Macaca fascicularis: one gene and its partners. The protein of the gene in region 5 interacts with the protein of the main gene of each other region in a biochemical or structural test. Links are inferred from orthologs where the notes say so. Each region holds a gene or a part of one and is shown on either strand. Other genes may lie near its edges.

Region 1 (4,886 bases), on a different chromosome or scaffold from region 5:
AGGCTACAGTAACCAAAACAGCATGGTACTGGTACCAAAACAGAGATATAGACCAATGGAACAGAACAGAGTCCTCAGAAATAATACCACACATCTACAGCCATCTGATCTTTGACAAACCTGAGAGAAACAAGAAATGGGGAAAGGATTCCCTATTTAATAAATGGTGCTGGGAAAATTGGCTAGCCATAAGTAGAAAGCTGAAACTGGATCCTTTCCTTACTCCTTATACGAAAATTAATTCAAGATGAATTAGAGACTTAAATGTTAGACCTAATACCATAAAAACCCTAGAAGAAAACCTAGGTAGTACCATTCAGGACATAGGCATGGGCAAAGACTTCATGTCTAAAACACCAAAGCAATGGCAGCAAAAGCCAAAATTGACAAATGGGATCTCATTAAACTAAAGAGCTTCTGCACAGCAAAAGAAATTTCACGTACTCTTCACAGAACCAGCGCTGAAAGCCTTTTCTGTCTCACCAGATCAGCCTTGCAAGGGGATGAGAGTGGGGCGCAGGCAGCTGAGAGCCTTGCTGGGAATCACACAGGTCGTCCGTGGAAAAGCGTGTACCAAGACCCAGGCCTCTCTGGAAGGTGGGCAGAGGAGGCGTTCGGAGGCAGAGGTGGAAATGAGAACAGGAAATCTAAAGAGAGGTGGCGGACGAGAAGGGGCAAAGGACGTGCAGAGGAAGATAGAGATTGAGGGATGGTGATAGGGCAGTGTAAGCAGCAGAAGGGAAGGGCAGGAAACTGCCTCGAAGAGAAGGGGCAGCGGCAGCACGTCAGGGGCTCTTGGTGAATCTCATTCAACAAATGGCAAAATGGAGCCCAAGTGGTTTGCCCAAGGATGTCCAGCACTTGGCAAGGTGGCAGCTAGAACCCGCGTCTCCTAATGGCGGTCCAGGGATCTTTCTTCGCCTGTCACAGGGACAAGGGGCCAGTGCAGCGCTAGTGCGGAGAGACAAGACTCTAGGCACGGAAAAGCAGACGCCGGGCCGGGGCTCCAGCGCTGCAACCACGGCGGTGGACGGAAAGCTCTGCCGACGGCTGGGGGCGCCATGAATCGTCGAGGATCCGGGGAGCCCAGTCCAGCCCTTCCTAGCAAGCGACCGCGAAGCGGCAATGGGACGGTGGTCGAAGCCTGCCCACAGCTTCCGCTTCGAAGGCGGCGTTGGAAATGCCGCGCCAGTATCCTTCGGCACCTCCCGAGAGATGGTCAGGAGCTTTTGGAAACTTTAGGTCAGGGGCCAAAGACCAAAAGGCTGGTATTTCGGAACGGCCACATCTCCTGAGAAACCTCCAAGAATAACAGGTTGCCGGAAAAAGGTTAGAGAGCAGCCGAAATCAGCCGAATGCCATTCGGGGGCTCCGGAGTTTCTCGAGGCACATTCGGGCCCTCTCGGCTCTGCAAGACTCCACTGGAATCTCAGGTCTCGAGCAGATCGTTTCGTCGCCTAAAGGGTAAGGGCGACTTGTACCGACAGTCCCTCGGCAGTTTCCGGAGGTGTTCGGGATAGGCCCGAGCGTGGCGCCCTCTGGCGGCGACCAGGGGTGGGGTAGGGGTTAGTGGGCCAGCGCGCGCAGACGCAGCTGCGCGCCGGCGGTCGTTCAGACCGGATGTGGTTGTGGCTGAGGTCAGTTCCGGCGGGTGACGGTGCGGACGGGTCAGGAGCGTAGAGGCGGCGGCAAAATGGCGGCGCCTGAGGAGCGAGATCTAACCCAGGAGCAGACAGAGAAGCTGCTGCAGTTTCAGGTAGCAGCGAGTACTCGGTGCAGCAAATGCCTCCGCGGGATGGGGAGTGGGCCCCTAGAGGAGTTCAGAACTTTCCTCAGATTGGGCTCAGATTCTTCTTAGACCAGCAGGCCGACCCCCTCCCCCCAGACTCCAACTGCCCTGATTCCCCCGGCCCCCAAGCCTCTGTTGGTCCCTATCCTTCCAGCCATCGCTGCGGCCAGACCCGCCTCGTTTGTGCTTCTGTGCCCTCAGCGTGTCAGCTTCCCTGGTTTCCCTTAGCGGCGTCAGTCCTCAGCCATCCTTCCCAGCCCGGTTATCGGTCGGACCCTCTCCGCCCAACGAGTCTGTATCTGCCGGAGACGCTTAATCCCTACCGCGGAGTTGGCGTCAGTTCGGGTCTCTGACAGAAAAACCTCCTGCCAACATCCCATGCCATTTCCACAAACATTCCCACAAACTGAGGCCTCTTGGATACCAGGTTTCGTGTTGGGGGTTCCGGTCGGGAAGGGGGCATCTACACACAGACCTGGTCCCCGCCCTAGAGGTGTGGGAGGACACCAAGTGAGAAAACAATGCAAGGTGCTAAGTGTCATCAGTGGCTTCTGACGGGATTTATTACTTTTGGCTTATTCCTGGATTCCTGTGCTTCACTATGCTTGAGGAGGGTGGTAACTTGCAGGAATGTTATGTTAATACAGGACGTCGTATTAAGAACGTTTGCCACTAATCACTTACCCTTGAGCTGGAGAATGGTTGGAGATACCACTAGGGTGGGTAACCTTGGCACTTTGTTACCAGTTTCTTATCTCTGAAGAGACTGTCTTAAAAATATCTACCCCCAAGCCGGCCGCGGTGGCTCACGCCTGTAATTTCTGCACTTTGGGAGGCCAAGGCGGGCGAATCACGAGGTCAGGAGTTCGAGACCAGCCTGGCCAATATGGTGAAACCCTGTCTCTACTAAACATACAAAGATTAGCCGAGCATGGTGGTGCACGCCTGTAGTCCCAGGTACTCGGGAGGCTGAAGCAGGAGACTCGCTTGAACCCGGAAGGCGGAGGTTGCAGTGAGCCGAGATCGCACCACTGCACTCCAGCCTGGGCAGCAGCAAGAGTGAAACTCCGTCTCAAAAAAAAAAAAAAAAAAAAAAAAAAAATCTACTTCCTGAGGATGTTCTGGAGATCAAATGGACATATGGATGTCAGAAGGGCCTTGTGGACTGTAAAATGCCCCCAAATAGTATTTCTGCTATTAATTTGACTTAGGATAGACCTAACGTTATTGATACACTTATTTCCTTATATAAAATGTGTAAATATTCATTTATTCAGCTATATTTATGAAGAACCTTAGTGCTCAGCGCTGCTAGGTGGAATCCCACTTACTATTTCAGATGTAAGTGCTTTGTAAACTTAGTGTACATAACCTCATTTAATACAACAACCCTATGAGGTTCATACTGTTACAGTCGCTGATTTACAGATGAAGGGTATCAGGACCAAGAAATAAAATGCTTAGGTTACACAGCTAGAAAGTGATGATGTCAGATTTAAAGCTATGTCCATCTTCCAGAACCCTTCCCAGGCTTCTGACTTCTGTCTTGTACAACTTGTATGTCAGTGTACAGTTGAGTGTGGAATGCAGATGCTGAGATAATAAATATTTTTTTGGCGAGTTCTCACTTTTCTGCAATTTCCTTGAATAGACTTCACTATAATAAATTTTGAAGTGATTATTTTTTTCCCCTCTTAAATTGAGCAGTGGGTTGGAAGTGTATAAATGGAAAAATGCTGTCGTAGATGTAATTGACATTTGATTGGAATTTTTGGTAGAGAAATTGAATTGATGACCCAGCAAATTATAATTAAAGAATGAGTAAACAGCAGACAACCAGCTTACACTTCCATTACACTTCCAGGTAGACCACCAATTTCAGAGTGTTGTTTAACTTTGGCAGACCATTTTACCCCCTAGAACTCTTCAGGGGTAAGCTAACATGTTGTTTAAGTGCAATGAAGCAATGTGAGTTATGGTATCTTTAGTCTCATACTGGGAGAGCATGAATATGAATATATGATAGCATTTCTGAAGTAAAGTGCATAGGAACTTCCATCTTATCTTCTGTGGAGTTTTTTTTTTTGAAATGGGGTTTCGCTCTTGTTGCCCAGGCTGGAGTGCAGTGGCGCGATCTCGGCTCACTTCAACCCATGCCTTCCGGTTTCAAGCCATTCTCCCGCCTCAGCCTCCCGAATAGCTGGGACTACAGGCACGTGCCACCACACCCAGCTAACTTTTTGTATTTTTAGTAGAGACGGGGTTTCACTATATTGGCCAGGATGGTCTCGATTTCTTGACCTCATGATCCACCCGCCTTGGCTGGGATTACAGGCGTGAGCCACTGCGCCGGGCCAGAACTGTGGAGATTTTTATTAGAAGAGAGGTGGGTAGCAGGTTTGAGCTGTATTAAGATTGCCTTATGAAACTGGATTTATTGAGGGAAATGCATCTTTTTTTTTTCCATTCTATAAGCAATCGCTGGATCAGATTCATTATCCAGATTGCCATTAAACCAACATTTGTTGAAACTCACTAGATGCCAAGCATTATACCAAGCATCAGTTGATGTTCATTAACTCTTTTTTTAAGAAAAATATTTTAGGCTGTGTGCGGTGGCTCACGCCTGTAATCCCAGCACTTTGGGAGGCCGAGGCGGGTGGATCACCTGAGGTCAGGAGTTCAAGATCAGCCTGGCCAACATGACAAAACCCCGTCTCTACTGAAAATACAGAAATTAGCCAGGCATAGTGGCACATGCCTGTAATCCCAGCTATTAGGGGGACTGAGGCAGGAGGATCGCTTAAACCTGGGAGGCGGAGGTTGCAGTGAGCCGAGATCGTGCCACTGCACTCCAGCCTGGGCAACAGAGCGGGACTCTGTCTCAAAAAAGAAAAAAAAAAAAAAAAACTTTAAAAGTAGAGATGGGGGTCTTGCCATGTTGTCCAGGCTGGTCTCGAACTCCTGCCTCAGCCTCTCACAGTGTTGAGATTACAGGTGTGAGCCACCACACTTGGCCCCTTAACTCTTTTAAATCTTTTAATATAACAGTGTAAAGGATTAATCTTGTTCATTTTAATAATGAAGAAACAGGTTC
Region 2 (4,171 bases), on a different chromosome or scaffold from region 5:
AGGATATTATTTCATTCTTTTTTATGGCTGCATAGTATTCCACAGTGTATGCCCCATTTTCTTTATCCAATCCACCATTAATGAGCACCTAGGTTGACTCCATGTCTTTGCTATTGTGAATAGTACTGATGAACATGTGAGAACATATATCTTTTTGGTGGAATAATTTGTTTTCAGTTGCATATATAACCAGTAATGGGATTGCTGGGTCAAATGGTAGTTTTGTTGTAAGTTCTTTGAGAAATCTCCAAACTGTTTTCCACGATGGCTGAACTAATTTACATTCCCACTAACAGCATATAAATGTTACCTTTTCTCCTCAGCATCACCAACATCTGTTGATGTTTTCACTTTTTTTTTTTTCCTTTTTGAGACAGAGTCTTACTCTGTCGCCCAGGCTGGAGAGCAGTGACTCCATCTCAGCTCACTGCAACCTCCGCCTCCCGGGATTAAGCGGTTCTCCTGCCTCAGTCTCCTGAGTAGCTGGGATTACAGGCGCCCACCACCATGCCCAGGTAATTTTTGTATTTTTAGTAGAGATGGGATTTCACCATGTTGGCCAGTCTGGTCTCGAACTCCCAACCTCAGGTAATCTGCCCGCCTCAGCCTCCCAAAGCCCTAGGATTACAGGCGTGAGCCACTGTGCCCGGCCAAGAAGCCAAGTTTTAATGGGTACACAAGTGCCCAGGAATTGGAGAGTGGGGAGTGTGCGTTGACTATTAGTCAGAGACTGTCAATGGAAGGGAAGGAGTCAACGATGGGAGTGAGAGCTCTGAACTCGGTGTTCGAAGCGGGTAATTTATGGGAGGGGCATACCTATGAGCAGACAATGCACTCAGACACGGAAGATCTGTGCATTGGACAGAAGAGACACCTTTTTCCTCTGCAGTAAGAACCAAGGAGGTAAGTAAGGGGTCTGATAGATATGAGTTTGTGCATGTGTGCTGGGTGAGTAATTGAGATAATTCATATATTTGAGAAAAGACAGTGAAATATTTAAAGGTAAATATAATAAAACCAGCTGTGGCACCTATTGGATAAGGAATTACTAACTGATGATTTAGAAATTCCTTTATGTGCGTTAGGAGCTCATTTGTTATCCCCATTTTACAGATGCGCAGCCCCAGGTTCAGTAACTTGCTCTAAATGAGACTGTAGAGACTAACTCCAGCACCCGGCAGCTCTCACCTTAAGCTGCCTGGCTAAGGTCAGCAGCAAGTAACCTGGCAGCGTCTGGGGGCCTGCGGCCGAGGACAGGGCTGGAACTACACTTCCCAGTATGCCAGGCGGGGCGGGGCGCGGCGGGGAGGGCGCAGGCTCCTTCCCAGAAGCAAAAGCGGAAACAAAAGAGTCTCGCCGGCCTCCCCGCCCGCACACTCGCGCACACTCGCGCTCGGGCGCAGACGGAGCAGGGACCGGCGCCCGGAGCGAGCCAGGGAGCGGCGAACCGGGGACCCACCGCGCGGAGCCAGCTGAGCTGCCAGCGAGCCCAACTCGCGAAGACTCACGCCCCCGAGCCCCGCAGCCGACCCCTGCCGGCCGGTGTCCCCACCGCGATCCCTGATCCATGGCGCTGAAGCGGATTCAGAAAGTGAGTGCCGGGGCCGGGCCTGGGGCTGCGGGGCAGCAGGGCAGCGGCGCCTGCCCACGCTGACTCGGCCAGTGGTCCCGAGAGATATGCAGGGAGAGCACGGGATGGAAGGGTGGGCCGGGGTGCGGGCAGGGAGCTGGAGGCTCGGGCCCGGCCAGCGGGCACCGGACAGGTTAGGTGGGAGCGGGGGCAGATCCCAGGCGGCCGGGGGAGCTTGAAGGCTGGGGGCCCGTGGCGCGCTCGCGCCGGGGCCGCTCCCGGAGCCCCAGGGTAGAGAGCCTCCTCCGCGTCCAGACCGCCCCGAAATCTGTGCTTCACGGTCACGGCTGGGTTTTGCCCTCCATGAGGCTAGTTTTGACCCCTGTCATGCTGTGTTTTCTCCAGGCTGTTTCTTAAGCCTGTCTCTTTTATGTTCTTGCTTACCCGGGCTCCCCGGGAGGGCACGGAAGGTGGGGTGGGCCTGCAGCCTTTCTCCGCGGAGCTGTCGGGTTGGTTCTTTCTCCTCTGCGGTTGGCTCTTGCTCAGTTGCCCGAATGGGCTGGAAAGCCCATTTGCGGCCAAGAAGCCAAGAGAAGGCTCCTGCCCCTTCTATTTTGGTGCCTCTGCTGCTGCCACTTCAGGTCACATAGCTGTAGCGAAAACATAGTTGCTGATACACAACAAGATGACCTCCTGGCTGTGATTCACGGTGAGTCAAGCCAAACAGGTTTTTTTTGCCCCTCATGGTAAACTTAGATGTAAAGTTCGAGACACAACATAAACTGTCGCAAATAGATTGTTTTGATGCTTTGACACATGGGTATAAAATGAGGAAGAAATATGTATCTTCATCCAACAACTGTTCACCCATCTCAACCCTGTGTGTGGAATTGTCTTTTTTTCACAGTATTTATTGCCACCATTTCAGAAGCGAACATCCTTCAGAATTGATATTCGGGCATTTCTTTCTGTTCATTTTTATTTCTTGTTGGTCTGTGTACTGACCCAAGTTTTAGGTTTTACAGTTACAGTTCACACTGGGAACATTGAGAATGTGTTTGTTAAATAGGGAGTGCTTTTCACTAAGTTAAGCAACAATGGTCAGTGTATTTTGTAGTTGTTTCAGAAGAAATTAATGCCCACATTTTTATCTACTTTTTTGACCAGTAGTCCATTATAGCAATAGTAAATGTTAGAGAGTGATAGTGACGTACACATTGTATTCTGACTAGCCACTAGTGGCATCTTTAGGTACAGAGGACAGCAACTTTTAGAGCCTGCCAGTTTTTTATTTTCAAATTCTAAATCTGTTGATCACCTGTTATTTTTTGTCCCATTTAAAGGTCGTCTCATTGTAAAACATACAGTTAACAATCAGCATCAGCATTTATTAAGTTATAATGTTTTCTTGTTTGAAGATAGTTCAGTTACACGTTGTTTTATATAAATATCCTAATTTTGAAGCCTCAGTCGGCCTCTTTACCATAACTTGCATACTTATTAATGACGACGTAATATTGGTTCACATTTGGATCAGAAAATGCACATCTTCCAAGGAAGTTTTCAAATTCTATTTCCTTCTTTCCTAGTTGTGAGAATTTTTCACATGATTTTGCACATACAAGAGCTTTTTAAATTATCACTGTGTTTTTTTAAGAGATGGGGATCTCAGTATGTTGCCCATGCTGGTCTTGAACTCCTGTCCTCCAGAGAGTCTGGGATTACAGGCACAAGTCACCATACCCAACTATAACAATAGCGTTTAAATGCTGTGCAATTTGTCCACAGTAAGTGGATATTCAAAGAAATATGAACATTGTTTGTAAATACCATACTTGGCAGTTCTCGTCAATCACCATGCTGAACTGGTGTATTTGATTTGTATTTATAATGTGTGTGTCCAAATCTTTTCTTTTTAGTATTTATTGGTTATTAGTTTATAGAGTTGTTCAGAAAAAAAAAATTACTTACATGGAATTGATATCAAACATGTGACAAATCGATATTTTGGAGAAGAAATTGGGATCATATACCATCACATCTCTGTGCGTTCATCTTTGGCTTCCCTTTCTGATATCAGGCAAGTTAACTTACACAAGTCTTTCCATTAATCACACATTCAGACCGTTTCCTCAAACCTTAGGGGTGATTATTTTGATTGATTCCCTATTTTTCCTCCTCCTTTATCTACCTCCTTGATTAGAAGCCAATTCTAGGTCAGTTGTGCCGCCTGCCATATGAACAGTTATACCATCTTCTTCTTTGATGTCATCAGTATAGACATTCTTATTTGAATCTTTCATGTTCCAACAAATGAAGATGTATACTAACTTTTGGCCTTTCTTCCTAAGCTCCTATTGAAGTGTTACTATAGTTTTCCTGTACCTAAAGTTGCAGACTGTAGAGCTGTGTGGAACCTCAGATAAGTCTGCCGTAGTGTACTAGAGGGTACCAGCACGGGAACAGCTTCTAGGGTAGTGTCTTAGAATCACCTGAGGGACGTTTTCAGACTGTCGTCACTTCTATAAATGGAGAGGTGTTGAATCCCTCAGATGGGTTGGGGTGGAAAGAAGACTGAGAACCACTGATGTTCTGGCCTGT
Region 3 (4,190 bases), on a different chromosome or scaffold from region 5:
AGTTGAAAGAAAGGAACTATTAAATGAGATTTAAAAAATTTGGATATATGTTTTTCGTGTGAACATACCTAAAGCATATACACGTAACCAGAAAATTAAAAGATGGAAAAATCTGCAGAGAGTGACAAAGGAAAGCTGGTGCATTTGTATTAGTATCAGATAAAGCTCATGTTTAGATAAAAAACATTATAGTAATAGAGGAAGTCATAAGGTTAAAGTTTCAATTCACCAAGAAATATCCATTCTAAACATGTATACATACCCAATTAAGCTGCCTCAAAATATATATGACAAAAATTTAGAGAATTGTAGAGTCAGATATAAGGATTGAAAAGGAAGAAATGAAACTAATTATTTTCAGATGATATATACATTTACATAAAAAACTCCAAAGAATCTTCAGATAAATTATTAGAAATTGTAGGAGAGCTCAGCAAGAAGGCAGGATATAAAATTAATATACAAAAGTCAATGTCATTTCACTATACTAGAAAAAAGACAATAACATTAGAAAATAAATCTAACATAAGATGTAGAAAAACTTATTAGAGGAAAAATTTTCTTGAGAAATATTAAAGAAGATCTAAATAAGTAGAATTACATCATATTCATGCATAAGAAGGCAACATTTTGAAGATGTCTTGTTATATATAGGCCTAGGAATAATATAGTTTTAAGTTATGTTATTTTGAACTGTAGATGAAAGAAAGCTCTTTTTTTTCCTTTGAGTATTTTAAGATTTTGAATAAAGTCATAGTGCTCTAGGAAGGTTGTAATATTTTATACTTCGCCAGCAGTGTTTGAGAATGCTTACTTCCTACATTATAACCACCATAAATATTTAAAACCTGATAGCACACAGTTTTAAAAATTTGAAATTCTCCAATTAACAGTGACCTTTAAAAATTATGTTTACTGGTCTCCATTATTTTGTCCTTTGTAAATTTTTATTAGTTTTTCTGTTCACATGTTCCATTTTTAAAATAGACTTTTAAGAGCTGTTTGTATTAAGAATATTAAGGCTTTGTCCCTATAATTAGTATTTTTCAGAATATCCTTTCTAGGTACAGTTTTTCAGTTCTAGTGCACAGAATGGAAACTTGTTACCTGCTATACCACATTTTCACTAGGATGTGATGTATTTATCACAAACAACAGTATTGGTCAACATTTTCCCTCGCTGTGAAGTGCACATTTGACATCCTTTAGAAAAATTACTGACGGTTTTGAGACGATTGTTTTGTGCTTTCTTTCAGTCAACGTAATTTTCCCGAAAGCAGAGATGACTCTTCCAGACATGCTAACAATGCCTGAACAAACTGTGTAAGCTTAGTCCAAAAAAAATATTTGATTAATAGATTTTATTCTGGTAGATTCTAAGGTTCTAAGCAGTCAGAGAAATAATCGCAGAGCCTCAAATATCTCCAAAATCTGATACCAATCCCTTTGATTGTGAATTATATTCTGTAGCTACCAAAGAAGGTAAGTTTTAATTTTTTCTACTCTATTAACTTTCCCTTGGGCAACTGAATATTAAGATGACTATGTAAGGAGGTTATCAGACCAAGGCCTCACACATCAGGATAAAAGCACATGCCATAGAAAGAACATTTGTGTCTCACAAGGTGATACCAAGGCAAGGCTATGGGATATATATGGGCACAATGTTGATATCTTCAAAGACTTGATACATAGTCTGGAGGTTTTCAGAGATTTTAATTTATAATGACAATCTTTCAAATTAGGAGAATTTTTGGACTGTAAAGTTAGCCAAACAAGTCTTCAATGATAAAAAAAGTCTATATCTTACACAGGGGGAATACATTTTTTGTTCGTTTTAATTTTTTCTCTGTCTATTCATACAGGGGCATCACATGTCTTTATCATTAAAAACTCTGATTTAGATAGACAGTTGTAGAGAAATTTAATGTGTGGGAATTTAAAGTTGTTTTATAAAGATGTAGCAAAATATAAATTTAAGACCCACAGCACCAATGAAAAAGGGAAATTAATTAAACTAGACAACTTTTATGGGTACTACCCATTAAAATTAAAATTTTAGTCATTGTAAATTATATTACATTGTAACAGTTTTCAATCTGTTGTCAAGTTAAATATTTTGGGTGACAATTGTATTTCACAGTTGTTCACACTTTGCATAATTTTCTAAGGAAAATGAGTCCCTTGGGGAGAAAATTGTTCTAAAATTTTATTGTTGGATAATGTTGCTGCACTAACATGATTTGCTGAAGTGGATCTACCATGTGTGTTTAGGTTTTTGTTCTTTACGAAATGTGTTGGGTGAAATTTTCCATAACACTGGTGAACTTTTCATGCTAATTTTCCAGTCCGTCAGTTTAAATATTATGCATTTTTTCCTGCGAATCTATCTTGAATCTGAAAAGGCCCCAGAAGGAATTAGCATGAGTCCAGAGTAGATGGACTGCAAATGTTACTCATATTTCAACATGTATCCAGCTTTCAGAAATAGCTTACTGAAATCAAGGTTGAACCACATGAAATTTTGGGGTTTTTTTGGATGTAAAAAAGGTTAAATATTGACATTTTCATATCATCCAATCTAATATCTTCCTCTAGTGAGGTTCTGGCAAAAAAAAAAAAAAAAAAAAAAAAAAAAGTATGATGACCCGAGTTGTTCACTCTTTTAAGCTTTATATTTCAAAATATTTTTAAAATTTAAAGCCATATAAGTGCATCCCAAAAAACATGGGAAAATTTTGTAGGCTACTTTTGTTTACTGATTTTTCTTCTATAGATTTATTTTTATGCTATGCCTGACTCTCCAATTAGATTTTAGTCATCCAGGAAAGTACAATTGCTCGTACTTCTAAGCAATTCTCCCATCACCTGGACATTAACTGCAGCCCACACTGCAGTGTCTTGACTGCAGTAGGCACTCAGTAAATATTTATTGATGGTCCTGATTATGGGATGATGAAATATGCTAAAGGTAACTTAAACTTTTGTCAATAAAACTGAGTTTCAGGTTAGTTTGACCTTTTCCGTATCTCTAAATATTTTCTTTCATGTCATTTTTGTGAAATAGCTCACAAAAGTACTTATTGATTCTGAAATCCTTTTCCCCTCTGGTATTCCTGAGCTATTCTCACTCACACACAGCACACCAGTGCCATCGTTTGCTGTTTTGGTTAAAATCATTCTCATTAATATTCCTCATTCAGTAAAAATAGTTGATTCTCAGTTATAAATATACACTTCATATTGGCATCCAACTGTTATGTGGGATGGAAAACAAAATGATGATATTGACTCCATAAGATAAACAGCAGTCTTTAGAATAGAGTTTGGTGCATAACTGTTCTAAATGTATCAAAGTTATCTCATTTAATCCTCCCACACACCTGTGGGAAGAGAGTATTTGTCTTGCTTTACAGATAAGGAAGCTGAGGCTTAGAAGATTCATATGTCTAACTAAGATCACAGAGCTGGTAAATCAGCCAAGTTTGAGTCTAAATCCAGGTTTTAAATATCATATTACATGTAGGCATAGATAAGCAAGAACAGGTTTTCCTGAAGATGGCCAGGCTAAGGCTTAGAAGAAGGAAGCTCAAGGAGACTAAACCAAGATATGCTAAGGCAAGTTTTTTTGTTTGCTTGTTTGTTTTTGAGACCGAGTTTCGATCTTGTTGCCCAGGCTGGAGTGTAGTAGCATGATGTTGGCTCACCACAACCTCCGCCTCCTGGGTTCAAGTGATTCTCCTGCCTCAGCCTCCCGAGTAGCTGGGATTATAGGCATGCACCACCATGCCCAGCTAATTTTGTATTTTTAGTAGAAACGGTGTTTCACTATGTTGGCCAGGCTGGTGTCGAACTCCTGACCTCAGCTGATCCGCCCATCTCAGCCTCCCAAAGTGCTGGGATTACAGGCATGAGCCACTGCGCCTGCCCTGCTAAGGTAAGTATTGACCATTAGAGGAGATGACTAGTCCTAGTGACAGGTCTTTCCTACTGGGAGTCAGCCAAGAGCTCCCCACTTTTCTGGTTCCGTTGTTCCTCCTGCAAAGTTCCATTGATAAAGTGGTTTCCCATTTGATTGTCCAATGATGCAAATCTCCAGTCCTTTATAGCATTGAGTTGCTTATGGCCTTTTACCGTTGAGTTTCTCATGGCTAATGAATGCTATTGAATTGGTGTTCCCATTTATCTAT
Region 4 (3,547 bases), on a different chromosome or scaffold from region 5:
AAAAAAAAAAAAACAGAAACAAAAATGAACAAACGAACTTCCAGATACCTAAACCCAACACCCAGATGAGTTCACTTTTTTTGGTTTGGTGGCTGGTGGGTGGGAATAGAGACACAGTCTATGTTGTCCAGGCTGGTTTTGAACTCCTGGGCCCAAACAGTCCCTCCTGCCTTGCCTCCCAAATTATTGAGGTTACAGGTGTGAGCCACCACACCCAGCCAAGTTTACCTTTCTAAAAGATCCACAGACCACGTCTTTTCCCCTGTAACTGTCACCATCGTGGCTTCCCCCTGCTCTAGAAAATGGGTCTGACTTGGGCCTTCCTCTCTGGTGTCATTGTCTGCTTCCTCCCCCTTCCCTTTTTCGCTCTGTTTTTTTGTTGTTGTTTGTTTTTGAGATGGAGTTTTGCTCTTGTTGTCCAGGCTGGAGTGCAGTGGCACAATCTCGGCTCACTGCGACCTCCACCGCCTCGGTTCAAAAGATTCTCCTGCCTCAGCCGCTGGAGTAGCTGGGATTACAGGCTTGTGCCACCATGCCCTGCTAATTTTGTATTTTTAGTAGAGACGGCGTTTCTCCATGTTGGTCAGGCTGCTCTCAAACTCCTGACCTCAGGTGATCCGCCTGCCTCAGCCTCCCAAAGTACTGGGATTGCAGGCGTGAGGCACTGTGCCCAGCCACATTCACTCTGTTCTTGCTTCTGTTTCTGAGACTTCCCAGATGCATCCACCCTGGGCCTTTGCACTTGCTCTTTGCTTTACCTGGGGGAAACCTTCTGCATCCCCTATACTGCAGGCCTGTCCTCCAGCCCTCGTCTGCAGTTCCTTCCTAGCCAGACACCTGCAGTTGTCTGGTTCATTTATTGGCTCACTTACTTACTATTTTTGAGACTTTGTCGCCTAGGCTGGAGTGCAGTGGCGCTATCTCAGCTCCCTGCAACCTCTGCCTCCCAGGTTCAAGTGATTTTCCTACCTTAGCCTTAGCCGTCTTGAGTAGCTGGGATTACAGGCACGTGCTATCACACCCAGCTGATTTTTGTATTTTTAGTAGAGATGGGGTTTTACCATGTTGGCCAGGCTGGTCTCCAACTCCAGGCTGGTCTCAAATCACCTCAAGTGATTACTGGTGTGAACTACTGCACCCAGCCTATTTGTCTATTTATTTATTCAAGACAGGGTCTTGCTCTGTTGCCCAGGCTGGAGTTCAGTGGCTTACTGCAGCCTCCGCCTCCTGGGTTCAGTCTCATGCCTCAGCCTGCCAACTAGCTGGGATTACAGGCGTCTGCCACCACACCTGGCTACTTTTTGTATTTTTAGTAGAGATGGGGGGTTCACCACGTTGGCCAGACTGGTCTCGAACTCCTGACCTCCAGTGATCTTGACCTGCCTCTGCCTCTTAAAGTGCTAGGATTACAGGTGTGAGCCACCACGCCTGGCCTATTTCTTGGCTCACTTAAAAGCCCATCATCAGCTCCTCCAGGGCAGGGCTTGTGTTGACTGCTATGTTGTGTTTGGCCAGAATAGGCTCCTCTGGATATTTGCCTGACTGAATGAAAAAGCAAGGGCTCTGATGACCTGGGGAGAGGAGGGGCTGTGAATTACCTTCCCTTCCCCACCCTCTCCTGCAGCAAATCAGCCGGCACCAGGAGCAGTTCATCCAGATGCTGAACGAGCCCCCTGGGGAGCTGGCGGACATCTCAGATGTGGAGGGGGAGGTGGGCGCCATAGGAGAGGAGGCCCCGCAGATGAACTACATCCAGGTGACGCCGCAGGAGAAGGAAGCTATAGAGAGGGTAAGAGGCCTGGCTGAGGGGTGACTGCGGGTGGGCAGGACCCCTACCCTCTGCTGCTCACACTTAACCCATCTTCCCACAGTTGAAGGCCCTAGGCTTCCCAGAGAGCCTGGTCATCCAGGCCTATTTCGCGTGTGAAAAAAATGAGAACTTGGCTGCCAACTTCCTCCTGAGTCAGAACTTTGATGACGAGTGATGCCAGGAAGCCAGGCCACCCAAGCCCTCACCCTACCCCTACTCCATGAAAGTTTTATAAAAGAAAAATATATATATATTCATGTTTATTTAAGAAATGGAAAAAAAAATCAAAAACCTTAAAAAAAAAAAAAAAGCAAACAGTCCAGCTTCCTGTCCTCCTAAAGTGGCCCCTGTTCCCATCTCGGTCTGAGAAGACCCGGGCCAGACAGCTGTCCCCCCATCCTCCTCCCCAGCCCAGCCTGCTCAGAGAAGCTGGCAGGACTGGGAGGCGACAGATGGGCCCCTCTTGGCCTCTGTCCCAGCTCCCTGCGGCCAGATGGAAAGGCGGCTGCTTGCCTCTCCATCCTCCGAAGAACCCGAGGACCCCTCCCCACCCCATCTTCTTCTAGGATGAGAGGAAGCTGGAGCCCCAAACTTTGCCCAAATCTTTCCATCTGGGGCAAGCCCTAAAAGGCCCAAGGCCCTCTCCCCAGTCTGGCTTTGGCCTCCAGCCTGGAGAAGGGCTAACATCAGCTCAGTGTCAAGGCCACCCCCACCCCAGAACAGAACCGTGTCTCTGATAAAGGTTTTGAAGTGAATAAAGTTTTAAAAACCAGCCCTATGGTCTGTACCTGCTGGGGCTCCCCGCGCCTGCCTGTCTGGGTTTGGGGGCTGGCTGGGCACAGGCAGGCATGGTGACGGGTGCCGGGAAGGGGGAGAGGAGTCTGTGAGACCCTGCAGATTGAGGCTCCCAGTGTCTCCTCCCCCAGTGTGCCATTTCCAGGCAGTGGACCCCAGCCCAACCTTGCAAAGACTGCTGCTCCCCAGCCCCCACCATCATCACCACAGTCTGTTTTGGCTATACTCCCCCCTCCTGCACCAGCCCTGTAATTGGCTAATTACTGGAGATGAATGTTGGTAAACAGAAGCCGCCTTCTCTTCTGCCATCTGCTTCTCCATTATTTGCCCATTGCACCCCCCTTTTCCTCCCCCTGAAGCTCCAGTTAGTCAGCAGGGCCTAGAGTCCCTGTCCCCTTTTGAGTAGAGCCAAGTGGGGGATTCCCCAGCCCTTAAGTATTGAAGGAGGAACCAGGGGACCCAGAGAGGCACACCTTGAGAGGACACAGATCTCTTCAGGGGTACTGCCAAGTAGCAGGCTTTATTGGGAAGGGACAAAGCCTCAGGAGCTGGGTGCCCCAGAGGCTGCTGGGTCCTGAGCTGCAGCTGCAGCTGCAGCCAATGCAGCAGCTCGCGCCTCCTGCTTCTGTCTTTGTTTTTCCTCCTTGAGGCGCTTGCGCTCCTTCTTCTCTAGGTCCTGGAGCAGCTCCTGGAAGCGGGCACTCTTTGGGTCCACTTGGTAGCCCAGGAGCTCCTGGGCCTCAGCCTGCAGTCGGGCCCTCCTCTCCTTGTCAGCCTGGGCCTTCTCCCAGCGCTCCCGCTGCTGCTGCCGCCAGTTCACAATCATCTGTGGCATCTTGGCCATGCACTCTGCGATGTGCTGCTCCCTGCAGGGGAGGGAGAGTGGGCTGTGACACTGGCACTCAGCCAGGGCAGAGCCCACCCACCTATATCTCACCGATA
Region 5 (3,961 bases):
CTATATTGTAATCTAAATTTTTATGTATTCAGAACTGTTTAAGATAAATTTGCTTGGAAATTATTAAATCACCAGAAGTGATATTATCCTGATAATTAACTTCCAAGTTGTCTCTTAATATAGTTTAAATGCAAATCATAAGCTTATATTAGTACCAGTCATAATGAATGCCAAACTGAAACCAGTATTGTATTTTTTCTCATTAGGGAGTTCTGGGAAATCGTTCATTCATTTACAGATGAACAGAAAAGACTCTTCTTGCAGTTTACAACGGGCACAGACAGAGCACCTGTGGGAGGACTAGGAAAATTAAAGATGATTATAGCCAAAAATGGCCCAGACACAGAAAGGTAATGATTAAGTGGTGACTCTATACCTACTGAAAACCTTGCATTCCTCATCACACACATATGAACTGTCTTTATAGTTTCTAAGCACCTTTGTGATTTTATGTACAAATCCTGAAATCATATTAGACAATTGAGAAAATATTTTGCTGTCATTGTGTGAGGAAACTTTTAAGGAATTGCCCTAGTTAAAAATTATTATGGGACTCACATTGGTTTGGAATTTTTCAAATTAGTATGATTCATTTACTTTTTTGATTCCCAGCTTGTTAGTTGAAAGCCATGTTACATGATAATCTATTTAGAATGGTTACATTGAGGCTTGGAAGATTATCATTCGATTATGCTAGAATCCCGTTATCAAATCATTTTCATAGTCATATTGCCAGCAGTATTTCTAATAAGCATTTAAGAGCACACAGTTTGAAATGTTGTAAACCAGGTTTGAATATTTTCTCCACCTTAGAGGAAGTTACTTCTCAGTGACCTAACCTCTGAAGTGCATTTATTGATGTCCTCTCTGTGGTTTTGTTGTGGAAAAAGATTTAGTGAAATGAACTGTAATAATTAAATACCTAAAACGGTATCTGGTATGTAGTAAAAACTCAATGGATAAGTATCTTATCATCATTGTTACTAGCTTTGAGTAATTTATAGGATAAAGACAAACTGATTCTTGGTAGTTACACAACAAAAAGTTTATGATTTGCATTAATGTATAGTTGGCATTGCAAACCATCTCAACTATATATAATTCTAAGTGTATTTCCCATGACTTATTATTTTCCTGTTTTTTCCCCTTTTCTCTATTTAGGTTACCTACATCTCATACTTGCTTTAATGTGCTTTTACTTCCGGAATATTCAAGCAAAGAAAAACTTAAAGAGAGATTGTTGAAGGCCATCACGTATGCCAAAGGATTTGGCATGCTGTAAAACAAAACAAAATAAAACAAAAAAAAGGAAGAAAAAAAAAAAAGAAAAAATTTAAAAAATTTTAAAAATATAACAAGAGGGATAAATGTTTGGTGGTGATAGTGTCCCAGTACAAAAAGGCTGTAAGATAGTGAACCACAGTAGTCACCTCTGTCTGTGCCTCCCTTCTTTCTTGGGGACATGTGGGCTGGAACAGCAGATTTCAGCTACATATATGAACAAATCCTTTATTATTATTATAATTATTTTTTTGCGTGAAAGTGTTACATATTCTTTCACTTGTATGTACAGAGAGGTTTTTCTGAATATTTATTTTAAGGGTTAAATCACTTTTGCTTGTGTTTATTACTGCTTGAGGTTGAGCCTTTTGAGTATTTAAAAAATATATACCAACAGAACTACTCTCCCAAGAAAAATATTGCCACCATTTGTAGACCATGTAACCTTCAAGTATGTGCTACTTTTTTGTCCCTGTATCTAACTCAAATCAGGAACTGTATTTTTTTTTAATGATTTGCTTTTGAAACTTGAAGTCTTTGAAACAGTGTGATGCAATTACTGCTGTTCTAGCCCCCAAAGAGTTTTCTGTGCAAAATCTTGAGAATCAATAAAGATGGAAGGGAGAAATTGGAATGTTTTAACTGCAGCCCTCAGAACTTTAGTAACAGCACAACAAATTAAAAAAACAACTCATGCCACAGTATGTTGTCTTCATGTGTCTTGCAATGAACTGTTTCAGTAGCCAATCCTCTTAGTATATGAAAGGACAGGGATTTTTGTTCTTGTTGTTCTTGTTATTTTAAGTTTACTGGGGAAAGTGCATTTGGCCAAATGAAATGGTAGTCAAGCCTATTGCAACAAAGTTAGGAAGTTTGTTGTTTATTATAAACAAAAAGCATGTGAAAGTGCACTTAAGATAGAGTTTTTATTAATTACTTATTACCTAGATTTTAAATAGACAATCCAAAGTCTCCCCTTCGTGTTGCCATCATCTTGTTGAATCAGCCATTTTATCGAGGCACGTGATCAGTGTTGCAACATAATGAAAAAGATGGCTACTGTGCCTTGTGTTACTTAATCATACAGTAAGCTGACCTGGAAATGAATGAAACTATTACTCCTAAGAATTACATTGTATAGCCCCACAGGTTAAATTTAATTCAAAACATGTTAAACATTACTTTCATGTACTATGGAAAAGTACAAGTAGGTTTACATTACTGGATTTTCGGAAGTAAGTAGTTTCCCCTTTCCTAGTCTTCTGTGTATGTGATGTTAATTTCTTTTATTGCATTATAAAATAAAAGGATTATGTATTTTTAACTAAGGTGAGACATTGATATATCCTTTTGCTACAAGCTATAGCTAATGTGCTGAGCTTGTGCCTTGGTGATTGTTTTAACTGATTACTGTAGATCAACCTGATGATTTGTTTGAAATTGGCAGGAAAAATGCAGCTTTCAAATCATTGGGGGGAGAAAAAGGATGTCTTTCAGGATTATTTTAATTTTTTCATAATTGAGACAGAACTGTTATGTACCATAATGCTAAATAAAACTGTGGCACTTTTCACCATAATTTAGTGGAAAAAGAAGACAATGCTTTCCATATTGTGATAAGGTAACATGGGGTTTTTCTGGGCCAGCCTTTAGAACACTGTTAAGGTACGTACGCTACCTTGATGAAAGGGACCTTCGTGCAACTGTAGTCATCTTAAAGGCTTCTCATCCACTGTGCTTCTTAATGTGTAATTAAAGTGAGGAGAAATTAAATACTCTGAGGGCGTTTTATATAATAAATTCGTGAAGAAATGTGTGCTCTTCAGTTCTCAAGTTTTATTATTACGGTACTGAAGTTCTATGATTTTGTAATAATGTATCCATATGACAAATTTTAAAGTGATAATTGAAATAGGTTATCAGATACAGAATTCACATCAAGTAGACTTCTAACAGAGTCACAATGAACCTACCCTTAAAATTTTAGAGGGAAAAAATCATCAGTTGCACAGACTAGCTGCTCTAGCTTGCTTAATTATGCTAGGCATGTTGTCACTCCCCTTACTTTTGCTGCATGGAATGTCCCTGAACAATAAGGAAGAGGAAAACATAGAAGTTTTGACGATAGTGGATACTTCCTCTACCCCAAATGTTATGTTATAAAAGTACTTTTTTGCCCAGGTACTCTATTGTATAGTTTGGTTTTCTTTGAATTAGACCTCAATCTCCAGGAAGCTCTGGAGGGAAAAAAAGGAACCATAAACTAAAGTAACTGGTTTTCCAAATAAATGCTAACTTTTTTTAACTTTCATTGTAGAACATTTCAAACATAAAACATGAAAACAGCCTGCAGCCAAACTTTTCTGGACCTTGGCAGCTCCAGCAAATGAGCTGGTCATCCTAACCTTGGTTTCCTGAGATAACTACTTTTGGGGATGCTTGCTTGTATAGGGAGATCCATATCAAAAAGAAACTTGAAAATGAGGCTTCAAACAGACCTTGCTGTTATTCATCCCTCCTCGGTACAGACATTCTGTTAGAACAGATGGTTGTAATGGGGCAGCATCACTCCCTGTTCCCATTAAAAACATGACCCTTCTGAGATTCCAGGCCCCTTTGAGGAATTTCCCCAAGAATTCCATACAAACTGTCAGAGAAAGAAATGTCGTCCCAAGACCAG
Region 6 (5,221 bases), on a different chromosome or scaffold from region 5:
CCTTTTATTTTCCTGTGATCTCTGCTAGTTCTTGTCTTTATAACACATGACTTTACTGGTTGTATTCATCATGTGGATATATATTTTTAAGTATCAGAAATCCAAATTTTCATAGGAGGAAATTTCAATTTTAATAACTATTTTTAGATTATTTTCTTCATCCTGAGTTTATTTCATCTGCTTATTGTTTTCTCCTGAATTTACACCTTTTCATCAGAACAAAAATACAATCGGTTTTTCAGAAGTTTAAAAAATGTTTCAAATACACAGCAGAGACGTCATCATTTTTATATACTCTACCACGACTCCTGGAACCAAACACTTAAGAAAGGTTACGTCTGGAGACTTTTTCAAAATCTATATGCATTTCAGTGGTGGAGAAATAGTTCTGTCTGGAAGCAGGAGGCTGAAATTATGACCCTGAAGATATCGCCCAGCTTTTGAACTTCTTATTCTGTGACAACTCCTGGCAGATACAGGTTTCCTGGTAGGGATTGAGCAAGAAGCATGCACAATTACTTTATGAGTCTTGATAAAGCTGGAGTTTCAGGTTGATGGTAAGAAGCAGTTCGGCTGGGTCGTGAGAATGCTTGTTTTCCTGGTTACTGGATATGCCATGGGCGTATATCTTGTGTTGTCCTGTAGTAACTGAAGCCACTGTTGCGCGGAAAATGATGGCAGTTTGAATGAGATAATTTAGAGTGAGCTATGGAAATCTGAGGCTGTCTCCTTAATGTACAAGACCTTGTATGTGTGGCACTGGTGTATCTGAATGGCACACATCTCTTCAGTTCCCTTCAACTGAAATGACAAATACGTGAGAAACTAAATCGTAATTTGACAGATTAATATTAAAAAAACAAATTTGGCAAAAATGCTACATAAGGAACAATTCAGAAGAACTGCTGATCATTTCAAAAATATTATTTGAATAGCATTTATATGTAGCTAACGAAAGCACTGCGATCCCCAGAACTTTCCATCCAATTTCCAAAAACCAAACCTTGTATCTAATGTAAAATGACACCAAAAATTCTAAATCCAGTCTAATTCAGTAGTATATAGCTTATACCCAGTGATTTCTCACATTCGCAAGCCCCGTTACACGTTGGTTTTACCTGTCACCAAAACCTTTGTATCACTCTTATAAAACCACATCACTTTCTATAAAAAGTGACTGGAAGAATCTAATATTGTAAAACTGCACGTGCCTCGCGTGACCTGAGCAGAAAATTCCTGGTTTGGGATTTTCTCACAGGCGTGCCTAAACTGACCTCTGCTCCTAGCAGGTAAATTGCTAGAAGGAGAAGCAAGTGTCAGTCCAAAGAAAACCCCTGTTGTGTGATTTTTTTATTCTCTTTAATCGCTTTTTAGGTGGAGTTCCCGCTGCATTCTCTAAAGTCTTTGCCACCACCAGATTACCATCTTTTCCACCAATTTGCCACCTCCCTACCCCTCTCCTTTCCAAAAGCCCTCACTGGAAAGAACTTTCTCTCGTGACCCCCCTATTCCATCCAGTTCCAATCACTCCCAGCGACCCCATCTCCATTGGCTTCCCCTCTCCCGCCCAGAATCCAGGTTCCCAAACCACTTAAGAGAAAATTCACACCCCTCGCCCCCTTCCCGGGCGTCCGGAGGAGGCGCTGGGGTGGGGGTGTGGGGGGGGGCACGGTTTCCTGGGGTCTCCTGGGTCTTCCTCGCGCACCCCCAGGAGGTGTTGCAGGGGGAGGGGAGCGAGGGTGGGTGGGACCGGGCCGGGTGGGGGAGGGGTGAGGGCGAGGAGGAGGAGGAGGAGGAGGAGGAGGAGGAGGAGGCGGCGGCGGCGGAGGAGTGGTGTGTGTGCGAGCGTGTGTGGCTGGGGGAAGCCATTGCCTGTTTAATAGTTGCTGTTGCTGCACTTCCGCTTCTCTCCCAGCGAGAGAGACACGAGTGGCCAGGCCCAGCCGCAGCCGCAGCAGCAGCCGCCGCGGCGGCACGGAGGAGCCAGACACAAAGAGAGGTACGGGGATCCCCCCAGCGGCCCGCCGCCCCCCGGCCGCGCCGCCGGGCCTCGGGGACACCCCTCGCCGCCTCCCCCGACTCGCGCCGCCGGGGCCGCCGGGCCGCCGGGCACGGGGCCGGAGGGGGGAGCGGAGAGGGGCTGGGGAGCCCCAGGGGTCCGGGGCCCGCCCGCGGGGGATGGGCAGGGACCCCGGGCCGCTTGGGGTGCGGGGGCCGCCCGCATCGGGGGCGGGGGTCATTGTGGCTCGAACTGTCAGCGCTGCCCCAAGAGCCCCCCACTGGCCACCGAGGGGGCCGGGAGCGGGGGTGGGGGGGAGTTGGGGGAGCCCCGTTTTCCCCAGGGGCGGGGGCTCACGGGGATTAACCCCTCCGGGGCGGAAGGGCTCATTGTTATTTCTTCGCTGCGGAGGCCGACCCCCCCCCCACTCCCCGCCGCAGCCCCTATCCCCCTCCAGGAGTGGCGATCGGGCGTGTGCTCCGGACCCCCTCCCGGCCGCGCAGCCGTGAGCGGGGCGGCCCAGAGGCAGGCAGGCCGGGAGGGGCGTCGGGGCGCGGCGCGGGGGGGCCTCGGGCCTTGTCGCCCGTGCCCCCCGCCGGCCTCTCCCTTCCCCCACCCGGGCACCCGCTCCCCGCCTCCGTCCCCCTGTTTCGGCTTCCTCTCTTACTCCTTCCCGCCCCTCCTCTCTTCCCGACCTCGCCAAACTCCTCTCGTGGCCCCACAGTCTCTCACCCGGGCCACCGGCCCCCCACCCCACGACCCCCGGAAAGCGGACAAAAACAGCCCCGAGGCCGGCCGGCTGCCGGGACCTTCCCTCCCTGCCCCGCCGTGGCGCCCCGCGCCCCCGCCCTGCCCTCCTTCGCCTCCCGGGCTACTCCCTCCCTGCCCAGCGGAGAGCCCCGGGGGGCGAGGGAGGGGCCGCTCTCCTAGCTCCAGACCGTTTTCCCACAGCGTTCCCCACTTGGGGCCAAAAATAAACAAGCCGCGTCCGATTTGCAAAAGCCTTAATGGGCCTGCAGACTTTGAAAAGCGAGTGGAGGGCGGTGGGCGGCCGCGTGCGCCCCTGGTCAATGCCCTCCTGACAGCACCTGAGTTCCTTATTTACACTGGCTGCATGGTTTGTGTGTTTCTGTTTTGTTTCCCTCCCCCTGCAGGGGCTGTTTGCGGGGTGGGGTGGGGGGTTCGCTATGTCGGATGACGATTCGAGGGCCAGCACCAGCTCCTCCTCATCTTCGTCTTCCAACCAGCAAACCGAGAAAGAAACAAACACCCCCAAGAAGAAGGAGAGTAAAGTCAGCATGAGCAAAAACTCCAAACTCCTCTCCACCAGCGCCAAGAGGTACCGTACTCTTTTTTTTTTTCCATAGGCTTCCTATTTTCCGAACTGCCTCTTGCTGCATTTGGTCTGCCTCCCAATGAGGATAGCTTAAACGCTCCTCATGGTTTATGTGTTCTTAAAAATGAAAGAAGGGCCTTGGAAGCCCTAATTATTTTCTCTATTGCTGCTTCTGTTTTTTTTTTTAATCATTGCTCACATGCAGCTATTGTGGCTTGCCTCTCGCATTTCTTGCTGAAGTTTGTAAGAATCTTCATTACTTTTATTAGTGACCCCCAAATCTGATTTCAGATTTCTTGTCCTACTAATGGTCGATCTGTGACCTTCCCCAAGGCCATCATCCCATTTCTTAATTACTAATACCAGCCCAGACAACTGCATCAAAATGAATTCTGTGACCATTTTACCTTCTCCTCACCTGTTGCATGGATGATCTTTTCTAAATAGAGCTTTCTTCACAAATTGCATAAGGAATAAAACTCGTATTAGCAGGTACAAAATTGAGTAGGTGAAGACGTGTTTTATGGTGGAATTTAAAGAGATTTTTCTGAGAGTTGAGGCAAATGAATGAATCAGTAAGTGATTATAAAATAGTTATTCTAGGTTATTTTTGTGGTTCTCTTTTGTTCTCTTTAAAAACTTCAGTTTACCAAATTTCAGGGAAACTTGTCTTTTTTTCATGCTATTTGCTGTCCTCATGCTGTGAAAATGTTACGTTGCTTTATTTTTTCAATTTAAGCAGTCTCTCTTTTTCTTTATTCTTTTCCTCTTAAGGCTCTGGAGGTAGCTACTTGTTACTCCTGCCATCCTTCAGTAATATCCTCTGATCGCCATGACCCTTAAAATAATCTTTAGTGGATTCCTAGGAGCCCTGAGACACCCTTTCATAAATCCTTCTGCTATCAGAGTTAGGCAGTTGTTAAAAAGGTGGCAAACCAGGAAGATAGTAAGAAGTCCAAATGATGGGTTAGATAGGGATACCCGTCTTAAAAATTTTTAAAATAAAGTGGAACATGAGACTTTAGATCTCTCCACTGAGTAGTGAGCCTGAAAGTCAGGGTTTGAGAGTTTGTTCTGTCATTTTGCCTGACTTGTAATTTGAAAACTTGGCAGTGTTTTGGTGACCTAACCATGAGCTGATGAATGAGTGACTTTTTAAAAATAGTGTGGAGGTCTTAAGTGGCAAGGTGCCTCTGCAAGATTGTTCTCATTTTTATAGGTTTGGTTTGATTGTACAGCTTCTCAGGAGGCCTAACTGACCCTCACTGATTAGCCCTGTGCGGTTTTCCTGGAACCTGGCATCTACTCTGCCCACTTGGGACAGGCCCTTCCTTAACACTGCCCCCCACCTCAATCCTCTAGGCTCTTTGATCCTCATTCACTTTTTGGCCTCACGTGCTCAAGCCGGGATACTTGCTTTTGGTAATTTGCATTTTTATATTTTGCTGGATATCCCTGGTGTACATGAATATATTTGGGGGTAAAGACCCAGTTATCAACTAGAAAATACTCTGCTTTTATTGTGAGTGAATTACAGAGAGGGGGATTTTTTTCACTAGACGTACTTTGTCCTTTTATTTTAAACAAGTTAAAAATTTATCTGGAAGTTCTGGAAAAGAGATGGTAGGTGTAGAAAAATGAAAGGTGGGAAGCTACAAATAGTAATTTTACCTATAAATTAACATCAGTGCTTTTGTTTTGTTTTTGCAATGAATTTAGCTCCTTGATAATCTTGCTGAAAGAGTAGCTATTAGTGTTAAAGCAGACCTAAGGTTAATAGCAAAAGGTAAAAAAAAAAAAAAAAAAAGGAGAGGGACAGTGTATCCAGGAAAGAGAATGGGGAAAATTGATGTTAGTGGGACCCTATAGAGGCTGTTCTGTGAAGT
Region 7 (4,431 bases), on a different chromosome or scaffold from region 5:
CCAAGTCAGAAAATTTATCATTAACATGACATAAACTATGAAGATGCAAAAAAGTATTAGTTGACCCAACAGTCTATCACAAGAAATCATTTAAAAACAAACCGAATACCTATTACTAATATTTAATTCCTATCATTGAAATTAGCCAAAAATTTACACTTTGGTTATTAAATTTAAGTAATAAAATCAACAAAATATATTTTCATGTGTGTAGTATAATACATAAATATATTTGGTCTTTCTCCTTGATCCTGAGTTACTAAAACCTTTGGAATTTTCTGAGTGACAGGAGTATCTTTTATTATTCATTACAAGCCCTTTTTGAAAATTATGCTAATGAAGTGACTTAGGCCCCTGGATAGCCTCAGAAAGGAGCTGGGCACCAGAAAGACAAAGTGATTAAAGGGCTGAAGCTTTCAGCCCCACCCACCAAGAAAGTGAGGGAAGGGAGCTGGAGATAGAGCTCTATGCAAATTCTTGAACAATAAGATTAAGAAAACTCAACATGAAAAGCATATCTGAGTGTTAGGAGAGTTGTGCGCTGAGGGGACCTGGAACCTTTGAGCTGAACTTCCATGCCCCACATACCTTGTGCCCTTATAATTCTCTTTCAAGATTTGTCTGTTTCTGAGTTGTATCCTTTATAATAAACAGGTAAACGTATAAGTGTTTTCTTGAGTTCCAGGTGCCATTCTAGCAATTATTGAACCTGAGGAGGAGGTCAGGGGAACCCCCAATTTAGAACTGGTCAGTCAGAAGTACAGGTGGCCTAGAACTTGTGACTAGTATCTGAAGTAGGGGCAGTCTTGTAGGACTAAGTCTGCTAACTTGTGAGATCGGATACTAACTGTAGGTAGGCAGTATCAGAAAAGAAACTGAATCTTGGACACAGAGCTGGTGTTGGACAACTGGCTGGTGTCAGAAAAAAACACTCCAGAATATGCCAGCTAAAGGAAGAAATAATAAATACACACACCAGACTATAGTTCTAATAATCTTTCCAAAAGACTAGTTTAAGTTCTATTAACAGGAAGCAGAATTCACCTATAAACTCTGGGTACAAGAGGGCTGATACTGCCAATCAAGGATACAGAATGCCAGGGAACACTTGGAAATAGATTTCTCTTTGGAGGACTTAAACCAAGGAGAAACCTAACAGAGCAACAGGATGACCAAGTGCTTACTTTGGTAATCACAAAGTGTTTACTTTGTAAAATTACATAACCAACCAAATGCATTCATTCCTCACTTACTAAGCACTTTTTATATATGCCAGAGACTGTGCTACACATGTATTGAGAATAAGGCAAAGAGAAAGACATTCTCAGAACTCAATCTAGTGGGAAAGACAGACAAGAAAATAAATGTCTACACAGATGTTAAGTACTTCAGTAAAGAATATTCACAGGATATTATGGTAATATAACCTAAGTGGAATGCCTACTTTCAGAAGAAGAGACAACACTTAATGAGTCTGGAGCATAAATACTTTGCAAGGAAACGTAAAGAAGGTTAGGAGGGGGACTGAATACTAGGCACAATGAACACCATATACAAAAAGCACAGAGATAAATGTATTAATGCATTCTTGAAACCACAAAAACTTCAGTATGACTAACTACAGTAGCAGATTGCAGTGCTCACCAAACATTTCATTTTGCAGCCTTATTATTTCTTTTGCACTTGGACAGGCCTATGTGAAATGCCAAAGGACTACAAGAAATGGTATGTGCCACTTCTGGTCAAAGTATAGCAGGTTCAACTTAAAACCCTTTAGCTGTCTCTTCTGCCATGTTCCAAACGGTAGAGCTATAATACAGCAGAATGAAAAACGACTTTCATTACCTTGAGTCTCTGAGGGACTATATGGACGGGCACCTTACAAACCGGTAAAAAGCAAGTAGCATGCAGAAAAATGTAGCAAGAAATGAAGCTTTGTTGTAATAAGCCACTGAGTTTGGCTATCTATTATCAAAAGATAATGGATAACAGCACTTCGGGGGATCACAAGGTCACGAGATCTACACCATCTGGGCTAACACAGTGAAACCCTATCTCTACTAAAAATGCAAACAAATTAGCCGGGCGTGGTGGCACACTCCTGTAATCCCAGCTACTCAGGAGGCTGAGGCAGGAGAATCGCTTGAACCCGGGAGGTGGAGGTTGCAGTGAGCCCAGATCACGCCACTGCACTCCAGCCTGGGCAACAGAGCAAGACTCTGTCTCAAAAAAAAAAAAAAAAAAAAAATCTTCCACAGAACCTCAATATATAAATCTAATACAGGCCAGGCACAGTGGCTCACATCTGTAACCCCAGCATTTTGGGACGCCAAGGCAGGACGCCATAAGCCAGGAGTCTGAAGCTGCAGTGAGCTATGATGGCACCACTGCACTCTAGCCTCAGTGACTGAGCAAGATCCTGCCTCTCTTAAAAAATAAAACAAAACTAATATAATAAAAGCAAAAGCAGTTTTAGGCTAGGCTGGCTTCCCAGACCCCTTTCCATGTGTTCAGGACAGTTACAAAATAACTAATGCAGTCTGATTCTTTCCTTTTACTGATGAAAAAATTATGATTCAGGGACGCTGGCTTATGATTAATAACCAGCTAACAGAGCGAGATTCCGTCTCAAAAAAATAAATAAATAAATAACCAGCTAATCTTACTCATACTAAATTATGTGGTAGTCAGATCAGGTACACACACACTACATCTCTTTCATTATTAAAAAGAAAGGCACCAACTGATATGTAAGAATATCCATATCCCTACCTATTTCCTTAATATCTACAATTATAGGAATATATAAGTTTTTTTTTAAATTTTTGTTGTTAAAGTGACATAACGTTTTCTTTTCTCATTTTATCTGAAGCTACCCAGGAAGGGAAAGGAGTATTTTTTCCCATCCCTATGGAGATGACTAAAGACACTTACCTAAACCAAAAGGGTTGCTAGTAGCAGAACCAGATGTGGAGTTACTATTAGGAGTTGATGATGTGGTAACATTGCTTCCAGCGGTATTTGTTTGCTGAGCTGAATGATCCTGAGGCCTAGGGAAAATAATTAATCACAGAGTAAGCAGTAGAGCTGATTATTTTTGAAAGAACCACTGAAATCCTGACATCTAGAAATAAAGAGTAAACTCTCAGATGAAATCAAATTATCATTTAATAAAAAGCCTGAGAAAACTAAGCGTTAGGAACAAAAAGTACAAAATAAAATAAAATCCTGCAAAATACAAAATATGCTGCAATTGCCCCTCCTCTCTGAGTATAACGTACATAAATATTTCATTAGTTTTAATCATATTGCTTATGTAACAGAGGGAGATAGGTTATTTCATAAGAGGGAAGTCAGTAACCAGTTACACCCACAAAGTTTGACTATATAAAAAACTTCTTTATCTTGGCCAGGTGTGGTGGCTCACGCCTGTAATCCCAGCACTTTGGGAGGCCGAGGCAGGTGGATCGCCTGAGGTCAGGAGTTCAAGACCAGTCTGGCCAACATGGTAAAACCCTGTATCTACTAAAAATACAAAAATTAGCCAGGAGTGGTGGTGCATGCCTGTAATCCCAGCTACTCAGGAGGCTGAGGAAGGAGGATTGCTTGAACCTAGGAGGTGGAGGTTGTAGTGAGCCAAGATTGTACCACTGCACTCCAACCTGGGCGACAGAGTGAGACTCTTTAAAAACAAACAAACAAAAAAACCCACAACTTTTTTATCTATCCCCTTCTAGTTTTTGAGGGTTATGAGCCAGTTTTACTAAGGCCCCTGAAATTCTTGAAAACAATAAAAAGTGAGAGTTCACCAAAAGAAAGTCAATCAATATGATTAATAATTATTACCTTTTTTTTTTTTTTTTAAAGACAAAGTCTTGCTCTGTCACCCAGGCTGGAGGTGCAGTGGCATGATTTCGGCTCACTGTAACCTCCCCCTCCCAGGTTCAAGCGATTCTCCTGCCTCAGCCTCCTGAGTAGCTGGGACCACAGGTGCACATCACTGTGCCGGGGCTATTTTTTGTATTTTTAGTAGAGATGGGGTTTCACCATGTTGACTAGGTTGCTCTGGAACTCTTGACCTCAGGTGATGGCCCTGCCTCACCCTCCCAAAGCGCTCAGATTACAGGCGTGAGCCACTGTGCCTGGCCTGATTATTATTTAGTATTATCTCTAAAAGGAAATAAGCCAGGCAAGGTGGCTCACACCTGTAAAGCCAGCACTTTGGGAGGCCTGATCTGAGGTCAGGCGTCTGTGACGAGCCTGGCCAACATAGGGAAACCCCATCTCTATTAAAAATACAAAATTAGCTGGGCATGGTGGCGCATGCCTGTAATTCCAGCTACTTGGGAGGCTGAGGCAGGAGAATCACTTGAGCCTGGAGGCAGACGTTGGAGTGAGCCGAGATCGTGCCACTGCACTCCAGCCTGGGCG

What was found.
Region 1: of the proteins of UBE3A (region 5) and FAF2, one has a biochemical effect on the other in vitro, tested with the Homo sapiens proteins (2 studies listed by BioGRID). The link is inferred for Macaca fascicularis from reciprocal best matches to the Homo sapiens genes UBE3A and FAF2.
Region 2: the proteins of UBE3A (region 5) and UBE2D1 form a complex in vitro, tested with the Homo sapiens proteins (12 studies listed by BioGRID, with this or other methods). The link is inferred for Macaca fascicularis from reciprocal best matches to the Homo sapiens genes UBE3A and UBE2D1.
Region 3: the proteins of UBE3A (region 5) and ESR1 form a complex in vitro, tested with the Homo sapiens proteins (2 studies listed by BioGRID, with this or other methods). The link is inferred for Macaca fascicularis from reciprocal best matches to the Homo sapiens genes UBE3A and ESR1.
Region 4: of the proteins of UBE3A (region 5) and RAD23A, one has a biochemical effect on the other in vitro, tested with the Homo sapiens proteins (9 studies listed by BioGRID, with this or other methods). The link is inferred for Macaca fascicularis from reciprocal best matches to the Homo sapiens genes UBE3A and RAD23A.
Region 6: the proteins of UBE3A (region 5) and UBE2E1 form a complex in vitro, tested with the Homo sapiens proteins (2 studies listed by BioGRID). The link is inferred for Macaca fascicularis from reciprocal best matches to the Homo sapiens genes UBE3A and UBE2E1.
Region 7: the proteins of UBE3A (region 5) and UBQLN1 form a complex in vitro, tested with the Homo sapiens proteins (2 studies listed by BioGRID, with this or other methods). The link is inferred for Macaca fascicularis from reciprocal best matches to the Homo sapiens genes UBE3A and UBQLN1.

The regions. Positions count from the first base shown.
Region 1 is NC_088380.1:183,346,281-183,351,166, forward strand, and holds the start of FAF2 (FAS-associated factor 2), read left to right. Parts: upstream 1-1,670; 5' UTR 1,671-1,693; coding exon 1,694-1,756; intron 1,757-4,886. UniProt on the Homo sapiens protein: Plays an important role in endoplasmic reticulum-associated degradation (ERAD) that mediates ubiquitin-dependent degradation of misfolded endoplasmic reticulum proteins.
Region 2 is NC_088383.1:88,326,482-88,330,652, reverse strand, and holds the start of UBE2D1 (ubiquitin-conjugating enzyme E2 D1), read left to right. Parts: upstream 1-1,371; 5' UTR 1,372-1,567; coding exon 1,568-1,591; intron 1,592-4,171.
Region 3 is NC_088378.1:59,861,070-59,865,259, forward strand, and holds the start of ESR1 (estrogen receptor), read left to right. Parts: upstream 1-1,390; 5' UTR 1,391-1,482; intron 1,483-4,190.
Region 4 is NC_088393.1:13,350,250-13,353,796, forward strand, and holds the end of RAD23A (UV excision repair protein RAD23 homolog A), read left to right. Parts: intron 1-1,624; coding exon 1,625-1,789; intron 1,790-1,871; coding exon 1,872-1,985; 3' UTR 1,986-2,582; downstream 2,583-3,547. Other genes in the region: GADD45GIP1 (large ribosomal subunit protein mL64), read right to left, coding at 3,147-3,471. UniProt on the Homo sapiens protein: Multiubiquitin chain receptor involved in modulation of proteasomal degradation. Binds to 'Lys-48'-linked polyubiquitin chains in a length-dependent manner and with a lower affinity to 'Lys-63'-linked polyubiquitin chains.
Region 5 is NC_088381.1:3,747,976-3,751,936, forward strand, and holds the end of UBE3A (ubiquitin-protein ligase E3A), read left to right. Parts: intron 1-206; coding exon 207-350; intron 351-1,161; coding exon 1,162-1,282; 3' UTR 1,283-3,093; downstream 3,094-3,961. UniProt on the Homo sapiens protein: E3 ubiquitin-protein ligase which accepts ubiquitin from an E2 ubiquitin-conjugating enzyme in the form of a thioester and transfers it to its substrates.
Region 6 is NC_088376.1:24,547,422-24,552,642, reverse strand, and holds the start of UBE2E1 (ubiquitin-conjugating enzyme E2 E1), read left to right. Parts: upstream 1-1,867; 5' UTR 1,868-1,999; intron 2,000-3,153; 5' UTR 3,154-3,186; coding exon 3,187-3,338; intron 3,339-5,221. UniProt on the Homo sapiens protein: Accepts ubiquitin from the E1 complex and catalyzes its covalent attachment to other proteins. Catalyzes the covalent attachment of ISG15 to other proteins. Mediates the selective degradation of short-lived and abnormal proteins.
Region 7 is NC_088389.1:114,293,722-114,298,152, forward strand, and holds part of UBQLN1 (ubiquilin-1), read right to left. Parts: intron 3,051-4,431; coding exon 2,935-3,050; intron 1-2,934. UniProt on the Homo sapiens protein: Plays an important role in the regulation of different protein degradation mechanisms and pathways including ubiquitin-proteasome system (UPS), autophagy and endoplasmic reticulum-associated protein degradation (ERAD) pathway.